Linked DNA regions of Nothobranchius furzeri. The protein of the gene in region 1 interacts with the protein of each later gene in a pairwise test. Links are inferred from orthologs where the notes say so. Each region holds a gene or a part of one and is shown in the gene's direction. Other genes may lie near its edges.

The links. The genes of interacting proteins can lie anywhere in the genome.
Region 2: the proteins of mafga (region 1) and bach2b interact in binary tests that used the Homo sapiens proteins (3 or more experiments, as listed by UniProt). The link is inferred for Nothobranchius furzeri from reciprocal best matches to the Homo sapiens genes MAFG and BACH2.

Annotation. Positions count from the first base shown.
Region 1 is NC_091752.1:59,016,478-59,020,553, forward strand, and holds the start of mafga (v-maf avian musculoaponeurotic fibrosarcoma oncogene homolog Ga), read left to right. Parts: upstream 1-1,273; 5' UTR 1,274-1,712; intron 1,713-4,076. UniProt on the Homo sapiens protein: Since they lack a putative transactivation domain, the small Mafs behave as transcriptional repressors when they dimerize among themselves.
Region 2 is NC_091743.1:91,361,716-91,365,919, forward strand, and holds the start of bach2b (transcription regulator protein BACH2), read left to right. Parts: upstream 1-1,281; 5' UTR 1,282-1,501; intron 1,502-4,204. UniProt on the Homo sapiens protein: Transcriptional regulator that acts as a repressor or activator. Binds to Maf recognition elements (MARE). Plays an important role in coordinating transcription activation and repression by MAFK.

The DNA of each region.
Region 1 (4,076 bases):
ACAGTGTATCATTCATCCATTCACACACTGATGGTGATGAGCTACGATGTAGCCACAGCTGCCCTGGGGCGCACTGACAGAGGCAAGGATGCCGAGCACAGGCGCCACCAGTCCCTCCGACCACCACCAGCAGGCAAGGTGGGTTAAGTGTCTTGCCCAAGGACACAACAGCAGAATCCTCTGCAACCTTCCGATTACTGGACAACCCGCTCAACCTGTTGAGCTACTGCTGCCCTAACACAACTTGAGCTGGACTGTGACCAAACTTAGCCTCACATAAACAGTACAATTGCACAAACAAAATAATTACACAAAATATTCAAATGGGGGTCATGTTCTCTAGCCTTTAACATTAACTGGTTCCCCACACTCTCCCCCACAAAATAAATGTCGTCCCAACAAAGCAAAAAACTCTGGAGCGGCTGATTCCTCAGCTGGTATGGAGGTAGGTTTGGAAGATAAGTCTCTGGAAATATTTTCTGTAGTATACAGTCTTTAACATGGCACTCATCTGCTATGTCACATCATGTTGTAAAGGCAGACATTACTGGCCAGGTGATATCTGCAAGGAGGATACTCTGCTATATCTGCAGGTCAGTATACCAGACTGTAAAGTTTAACTCAAAACTTAACATAACCGAACGTCATAACCAAGTGTAACACTAATAACACTAAATACGCACGCTCTTGGTATCAAAATGTGTCTTTAAAGAGCAAGTCAACCCCTACCAGAGTCTAACTCCACTCCCACTTCATGTTTGAAAAATGCAACACATACTGTTGCCTGGCAGACCGAGAGGGCGAAGCCGCTAACAAATACACACGCACTCAGGCTCACGACAGCAATGTGACATCATAATGTACCAGTTTACGTCATAGCATACTTCTTAGCCAATAGCAGTGGCAGATTTAAATTAGAATACAGTGCAGAGTTTTTACCTGACAACGGCACAACACTGCCAGTTTTAGGCAGAATATTTAAATTTTAACTAAGATGCACTGAAGTGCCAAATTATTGACGAAACGTGTCTGCAGCACGATTAGACACTCATTTATTTAGTTTAGCAGCAAAAAAAAATGTTTATTTGGGGATGACTTGCTCTTTAAAATTCCCGGACATCATAAGTGAAATCCATGGCACAAAACAAGCAGAATTAGAAAACAGCGTTTTTAGCCCCATTGACTTGCATTCATGTTTTCATTCTTCCGGGGACCCGTGACGCAGAAGTGACTTCCTTATATGGTATGGTGCTGTCGTGCCTCTGGCCACTCCGCCCCATGCTACAAGCTACAGCCAAGTATAGGCGAGCTGCTGCAGCTGCGTGTAAAACGTTGAGAAACAGTTTTTTTGATGTGGGTATCACCATCCCGCGTCCCGGAGGTGATTTCCTATTTCGAGGAATTGCTTGTTGCCGCGGTTTACAGTAGGCAGGTAGAGCATGGGGATGTCCTCACTTGGTGTTTTTTGCAGGCGTGGAGTTTTCCACTTTGACAAGTATCAGGCACCGAGAGGTTGAGTCGTGGAATGTCAACAAGCATGTAAACCTCTGCAGGCGGCTTCTGCGAGACGTCGGTGTGCTGCCGTCTGTTTTGTCAGCCTTATTTTTATTTCTTCTTTTTTTTCGGTGGCTTGTCAACTCATGAGCATCTTGCTGTTGGTCGAACAGGCTGCTTCATCACCGCGAGTCGAGCCAGCGGCTTAACAAGACCAGGTTGGTTGTTGCTGATGTTCTTTCTTCTGATCCAAGACGAACATGCATGGATTGTTAAAATCGAACATTGTTTCGTTTATGTGAATGCTTTGATTTGATCGTCCTGAAAATAGCTTTTCGACCAGTTCATGTTGAATTGCTTTTAACCTAAGTGACTTTTCATTTAGTTAAAACCTGACAATGGTAGTCAAACATATTTTTTTTTGGGGGGGGGGGGGGGATGTCACAGCCGGTGAGCCCGAGAGAGATGTTGAATTTCAAAGCCCCCAAAAAGCGATATGTATTATTATTTTTTTTTTTATCATGCTGCATCATCACAGTGACGGATTTAGACATTCTGAGAACCCACCCCGAAATATGGCACCACCGGACAAAGGTCTGCTCGCCTGATAAGGGTCGATGCTCATCTCCAACCCTCCGTTAATATGGAGGATGGATCGAAATAGTTCTTTTGTCAAGACCGCCATGCCCATATGTCTATTGGATGATCAACATTTAGCTGAGAATGTGTGTTTTGTTGCAGCGCTGTCACGATAAACAGACACGACTGATTGTGCGTGTGTGTGTGCGTGTGTGTGCGTGTGTGTGCGTGCGTGCGTGCGCGCGAGAACAACGATTGTAAAATTGCCATGATTTGACTCACGCGATGACTGGATGGTCACATTTTGTCATGTATAGGCTAATTCCTGAATGTAAAGAATAAAACAAGCACATGACCTGACAAGCAGTTCACATGCCTTCAGTTTTTGCTGAACAGTGTGCTTCCTTTCATATGACAATGACAATTTAACAGTTTGTCATCGACTTGACAGCTGCTTTTGTCTTCCTGTGTGTGACATTATGATATTTGCATCAGAAGCTTGGCTTTGTGATAAAGCGTACTGCCCATCTCTGTCTTTCTCTGCAGCTAACAAGTAAAGATGATGGCCCTTTATATGCACAAAAAGAACGCAGATGTGGAATTAGTCCAGTATTTGATGGGAAATTACATTTAGAAAAATTCCAGTCTGGTTTTAAGCCAGTCCACAGTACAGAATCTGCAATGCTCTGGGTTTTTAATTACATTTATTGGCAACTGATTCTGGGGACTTTATTTTGATATTGTTGGACCTATCGGCTGCATTCGATACTGTTGATCAGTCTCTCCTGATTTCTAGGATGGAAGACTTTGTGGGTGTTTGCAGGGTCGCGCTGGATTGGTTTGTGTCGCACGTGGCTGACAGAACCTTCAGTGTCTCATTGGGAGATTCTACAGGTCCTTCTCAAAAAATTAGCATATTGTGATGAAGTTCATTATTTTCAGTAATGTACTGATAAATATTAGACTTTCATATATATTAGATTCATTGCACAAAACTGAAGTAGTTCAAGCCTTTTATTGTTTCTAATATTGATGATTTTGGCATACAGCTCATGAAAACCCAAAATTCCTATCTAAAAAATTAGCATATTAGCATCTAAAAAATTTCATCCGACCAATAAAAGAAAAGTGTTTTAATACAAAAAAAGTCAACTTTCAGATAATATGTTCAGTTATGCACTCAATACTTGGTCGGGAATCCTTTTGCAGAAATGACTACTTCAATGCGGCGTGGCATGGAGGCAATCAGCCTGTGGCACTGCTGAGGTGTTATGGAGGCCCAGGATGCTTCGATAGTGGCCTTAAGCTCATCCAGAGTGTTGGGTCTTGAGTCTCTCAACTTTCTTCACAATATCCTACAGAATCTCTATGGGGTTCAGGTCAGGAGAGTTGGCAGACCAATTGAGCACAGTAATACCATGGTCAGTTAACCATTCACCAGTGGTTTTGGCACTGTGAGCAGGTGCCAGGTTGTGCTGAAAAATGAAATCTTCATCTCCATAAAGCTTTTCAGCAGATGGAAGCATGAAGTGCTCCAAAATCTTCTGATAGCTAGCTGCATTGACCCTGCCCTTGATAAAGCACAGTGGACCAACACCAGCAGCTGACATGGCACCCCAGACCATCACTGACTGTGGGTACTTGACACTGGACTTCAGGCATTTTGGCATTTCCCTCTGCCCAGTCTTCCTCCATACTCTGGCACCGTGATTTCCGAATGACATGCAAAATTTGCTTTCATCTGAAAAAAGTACTTTGGACCACTGAGCAACAATTCAGTGCTGCTTCTCTGTAGCCCAGGTCAGGCGCTTTGCCACTGTTTCTGGTTCAAAAGTGGCTTGACCTGGGGAATGTGGCACCTGTAGCCCATTTCCTGCACATGCCTGTACACGGTGGCTCTGGATGTTTCTACTCCAGACTCAGTCCACTGCTTCTGCAGGTCTCCCAAGGTCTGGAATCTGTCCTTCTCCACAATCTTCCTCAGGGTCCGGTCACCTTTTCTC
Region 2 (4,204 bases), on another chromosome or scaffold:
GATAATAATAATATCATCATGGCCCCCCAGACTCTGGACCTCTCTCCCCCTGAGCCTGAGATCAGAGGACTCAGTGGTCTCCTTTAAAAAGCAGCTGAAGACTCACTTGTTCAGGCTTTGGTGTGACCTTCATCACCTCTCTCTCCTCATTCCACTGGTTTCCCTCTTTCCTATTTATTTATTTTCTCCCTTCCTTTCCTACATTTTTAAATCACAATTTTTATTTTTTTCTCATTTTAAACATATTTTTAAACATTTATTGAAATCTTTTTTATACTTTAATTTGTTTTGTTTTTGTGAAGCACCTCCTGATTTTTATCTTGAGAGGCACAACAGAAAATATTGTTTTCTTTCTTTCTTTAATACTAATAATATTAACAACAACAATAATAATGATAATAATAAATGTTATTGTTTTTACTGCCAATGTTTTGAGGCAGAAATTTAGTTTGATGAACATTTTATTTTTAAAAAAACTACGTTTTTGAACATTTTGTACTTTCCAATCCAATCCAATGTTATTTATAGAGCGCATTCACAAGGCATTACAACCAAACAAGGCGCTGTACACTAAAAATGTTAGTTAATTAAACAGGTAAAAAAAAAGTTTATACAAACATGTCGAACACAGATAAAAGATAAAAAGGAAATACAACAAAATTCCCAAAACAAACAGCAAAAATAAATAAAACACAGGGAGAATAAAAAATTAGAAAAATAAATAAAAGAAAAATCAAGTGCAGACATTTCTTATATTAATCAAAATCCAGAAGATCGTAAATTAAAACCCAGTTTTCCTGAATACCGTGCATGCCAAAAACAGGAATGTGCAAGTGCAATGGTGCTAGTACTAGTATAATTCTCCTTGGTGCTGCTAGTAGTACTATAGTAGTACTAGTTTTCATCGTTGAGCTCTGATTCAGAAAAATGAAGCTCATTCTCGCCTCGTCTCCACTTCTCCTCTCAGGTTGTGAAAAGTGCCTCGTGTCATCGCGGTCCCGCCGCGAGCACCGGGGAGGAGCACCGGGAGGATCTGTGGGGAGGGGGGAGGGATTTGAGCTAACGGGTCTGCGGTCCCATTCTCGAAGCTCCGCTGCGCCAATTCCGCGGCGCACACGCGCGCCTCCCCCCTACTGTAACGCAAGGCAGCGCGCGCCTACGATGTTGTGAATGAGGGAATGAGGTGACGTCAGCGGCCGAATGTCAACAATGTAGCGACTGAGAGTAGGCGTTCCAGTCGAGTGTAACAAACAACGGAGACGGAGCGGCACGCCGCGCGGGAGCACGGCGCACACTCACACACATCCACACGCGCGCGCTCGCGCACGTTCATGACACACGCTGTTTTGTATTTTTATACCGTTAAAAGCGAGAAGAATAATCCGGGACGTGATTGGTCTGTATGCGCCGAGAGGCTCCGAGGAGACGGCGGAGCGGGTCATCATGTGAAAGAAGTTCTGTTGGACCGACGGGCTGGAACACACGAACCAGAAAGCAGAAGGTAAGCAGCCTGCGCGGCCACTGCCCACACCGGGACCCGCCTGGGTCCGCCGTGTCCCAGTTTTACTGTCAAACTGGAGCAGAACCGCGGCTGGACCGAACCACCAGGTCCCCGCTGGTTCTGGAAGGAGTCAGATAGAGAGAGAAGCACGAGTGAGAAACCGCACGCTTGGTGCGAATATTACTATATTACTGAGTGTGTGTGCGCGCGCGCGTGGGTGTGTAGGGGTGTGAACGCGGGTTCAGGAGTGAAACACAACTCCACCACATCCTGTTGTGCTTTGAGTCAACGCGGCGCGCGCTGCCTTTTCCTCAGTTTGTTCAGGTTTCGGTGCTGCAGGAATCCCGAACAGCGCGGTCTTTAAACGCATCACTCGGTCTTTAAACGCATCACTCAGGCATTAACCACAGTCTGTTTTGTTCAGACTGCACCATTCTCCTCTTTGTTTTGGCTTCATGTTCTACTCTGGGTGGGAGCACACACACACACACACACACACACACACACACACGGCTCCATATTTGCTGCGTAAGCTGGGTTGGTTCCGATGGTCCAGGTCGGTTCCGTCACAGATCCGTACGTGAGCGTCGGTGTAAATCAGCTGCGAGTCAAACAGCGGCGTCATGTGAGTGATGCTGCAGTGAGGCTTAGTCACCCCCACCCCCACCCCAAGGTGGACGGTGTGTGTGTGTGTGTGTGTGTGTGTGTGTGTGTGTGTGTGTGTGTGTGCGTGTGCGTGTGCGTGTGCGTGTGTGTGTGTGTGTGTGTGTGTGTGTGTGTGTGTGTGTGCGTGTGTGTGTGTGGCAGTGCAGATTTTGATTTATTCAGGATGAATGATGTTCCCTCCGCTCAGACTAATTGTAGCTGCTGCCGTCTTTGTTCACTACATCACAGAATGAGGAGCTGCGTGCACGCTCGCGCGTGAGAGATGCCATGCTAATGACGTGAAGGCAGCATTCTGCTATCTGATCTTCCTCTCATCTGAGATGATGAAGAGGAGTGATGCTGCAGTGAGGCAGCAGTCTGAGGAGCGGTGACACCCTCAGCATCCCGCAGCATCCTTTGTCTCCCACAATGCTGATGCAACGGAAGGGGGGGGGGGGGGGTAAGGGGGCCCGCACCCCCCACCCCCGCGGTCCCGGTCCTCCCCCCGGAGCCTGATGAGGACGTTTCTAATCGTTGTTGTTTAAAAAGATAGCTGACGTAAACATCACATCTTCACTGACTCCGCACGGCTTCACAGCACGTGCGTGGAGGCTGCAGACATGCGCAGTGTCACCCACGGAGCCCTTTGTTCTGCACGCGCTCCCGTTCCGAGCATCTCTCCTGTTTATTGTGAGGAATCAGGGTTTTGGGGGAGGGGTCGGATGGAGCCGCAGTGACTCAGGCTTTAACCCGCAGCTCCACGGGAGCATGGCCTGGATCGTTGTTCTGATAACAACAATTATTATTATTATTATTATTATTATTATTATTATTATTATTATTATTATTATTATTATTATCAGAAGCTTTGGTGGCCCGCTGTAGTCACGAGGTTCTGGTCCTATTGGGCTCTAGGATGGAGATAAAAGCACCATGCACCACTGCTACGTAGGTTATTACATCCTTGCATTTTCTAAGTTCTGAATAGCTGTCCACTGTGACCTCTGGGGTTAAAGGTCATAGGTAAAATCCTGTGAATGGAAAAGAAAATCTGCAAATGACCTGTTCATGAAACATCCTCTAAAAGGTTATTGTAGAATCAAACAAGGTGCATCAGACTTTAGTCGGACACAAAGGAGCGTGTTGCAGAGGTGTTGCATCACGGTTTCTGATTGGTTCTTCTGCCTCCGTGGCTGCAGGAGCTGGAGCTTCAGCACCAAACGGGGGAAAATGAGAAGAATCTTTCTGAACATTCCCTTCACACCTATGGATTTTTATGTTTCTGTGGTGTTTTGTGTGATGATGGAGGTGAGAGCCAACATGTAACGGATGTGTGTGGACGCTGGGTCAGAGGGGAGATGAGTGGAAGTCATCAGTCCTACGGCCGACAGGCGGAGTTTCCTACAAACGCACACGAGTGAGACAGAATCACTAATCATTCATTAATAGAGGATCAGTGCTTATGGATGAAAGACTGACCAGCAAGAGATGATCTCACAGCATCCCTGGAGGGGGTTTAAAACTGTCATGTTCCTGTTTTAAATCCTTTTCTTGAGCCAGGATGTGCTAAAATGACCCTTTACAGGGTTAACCAAACACCACTCGGCCCTCGTGGCCGGAATACCACGCTGGCAACTTCAGAGTGTCCGGACTGCTCGCAGATATTGGGAAAGTAGGATGTCCAAGGAAGATCCCAACTTTCTCACCTCTGATTGGCCATCTCATTTAGCAGCAAACCGTCTTCCCTCGCTAAGTGTAGCCTGCGCTGCCACCAACAGAACAGCTGTTTAGGGGAGTTTATGATCAAAATGACAACTTAGCGCTACGATAACTAGTCTGTCCTGTTAGGTTTGCTTGAGAGCTAACACACAAAGTCAGCCTAACAGTGTGATGAATGCAGCGAGACTCATTACAAGTTCACATTTGACGTTTTTCAGGTTCTTTTCTAAACTGGATGGTTTGTTGCAGAGCGGGACAGAATGGTTGTTGTAGCACCAAGCTCACGTTTTCTCCACACAACTCCCCAAATGGCTGCAGACATGCAAACAAGGAGGACAG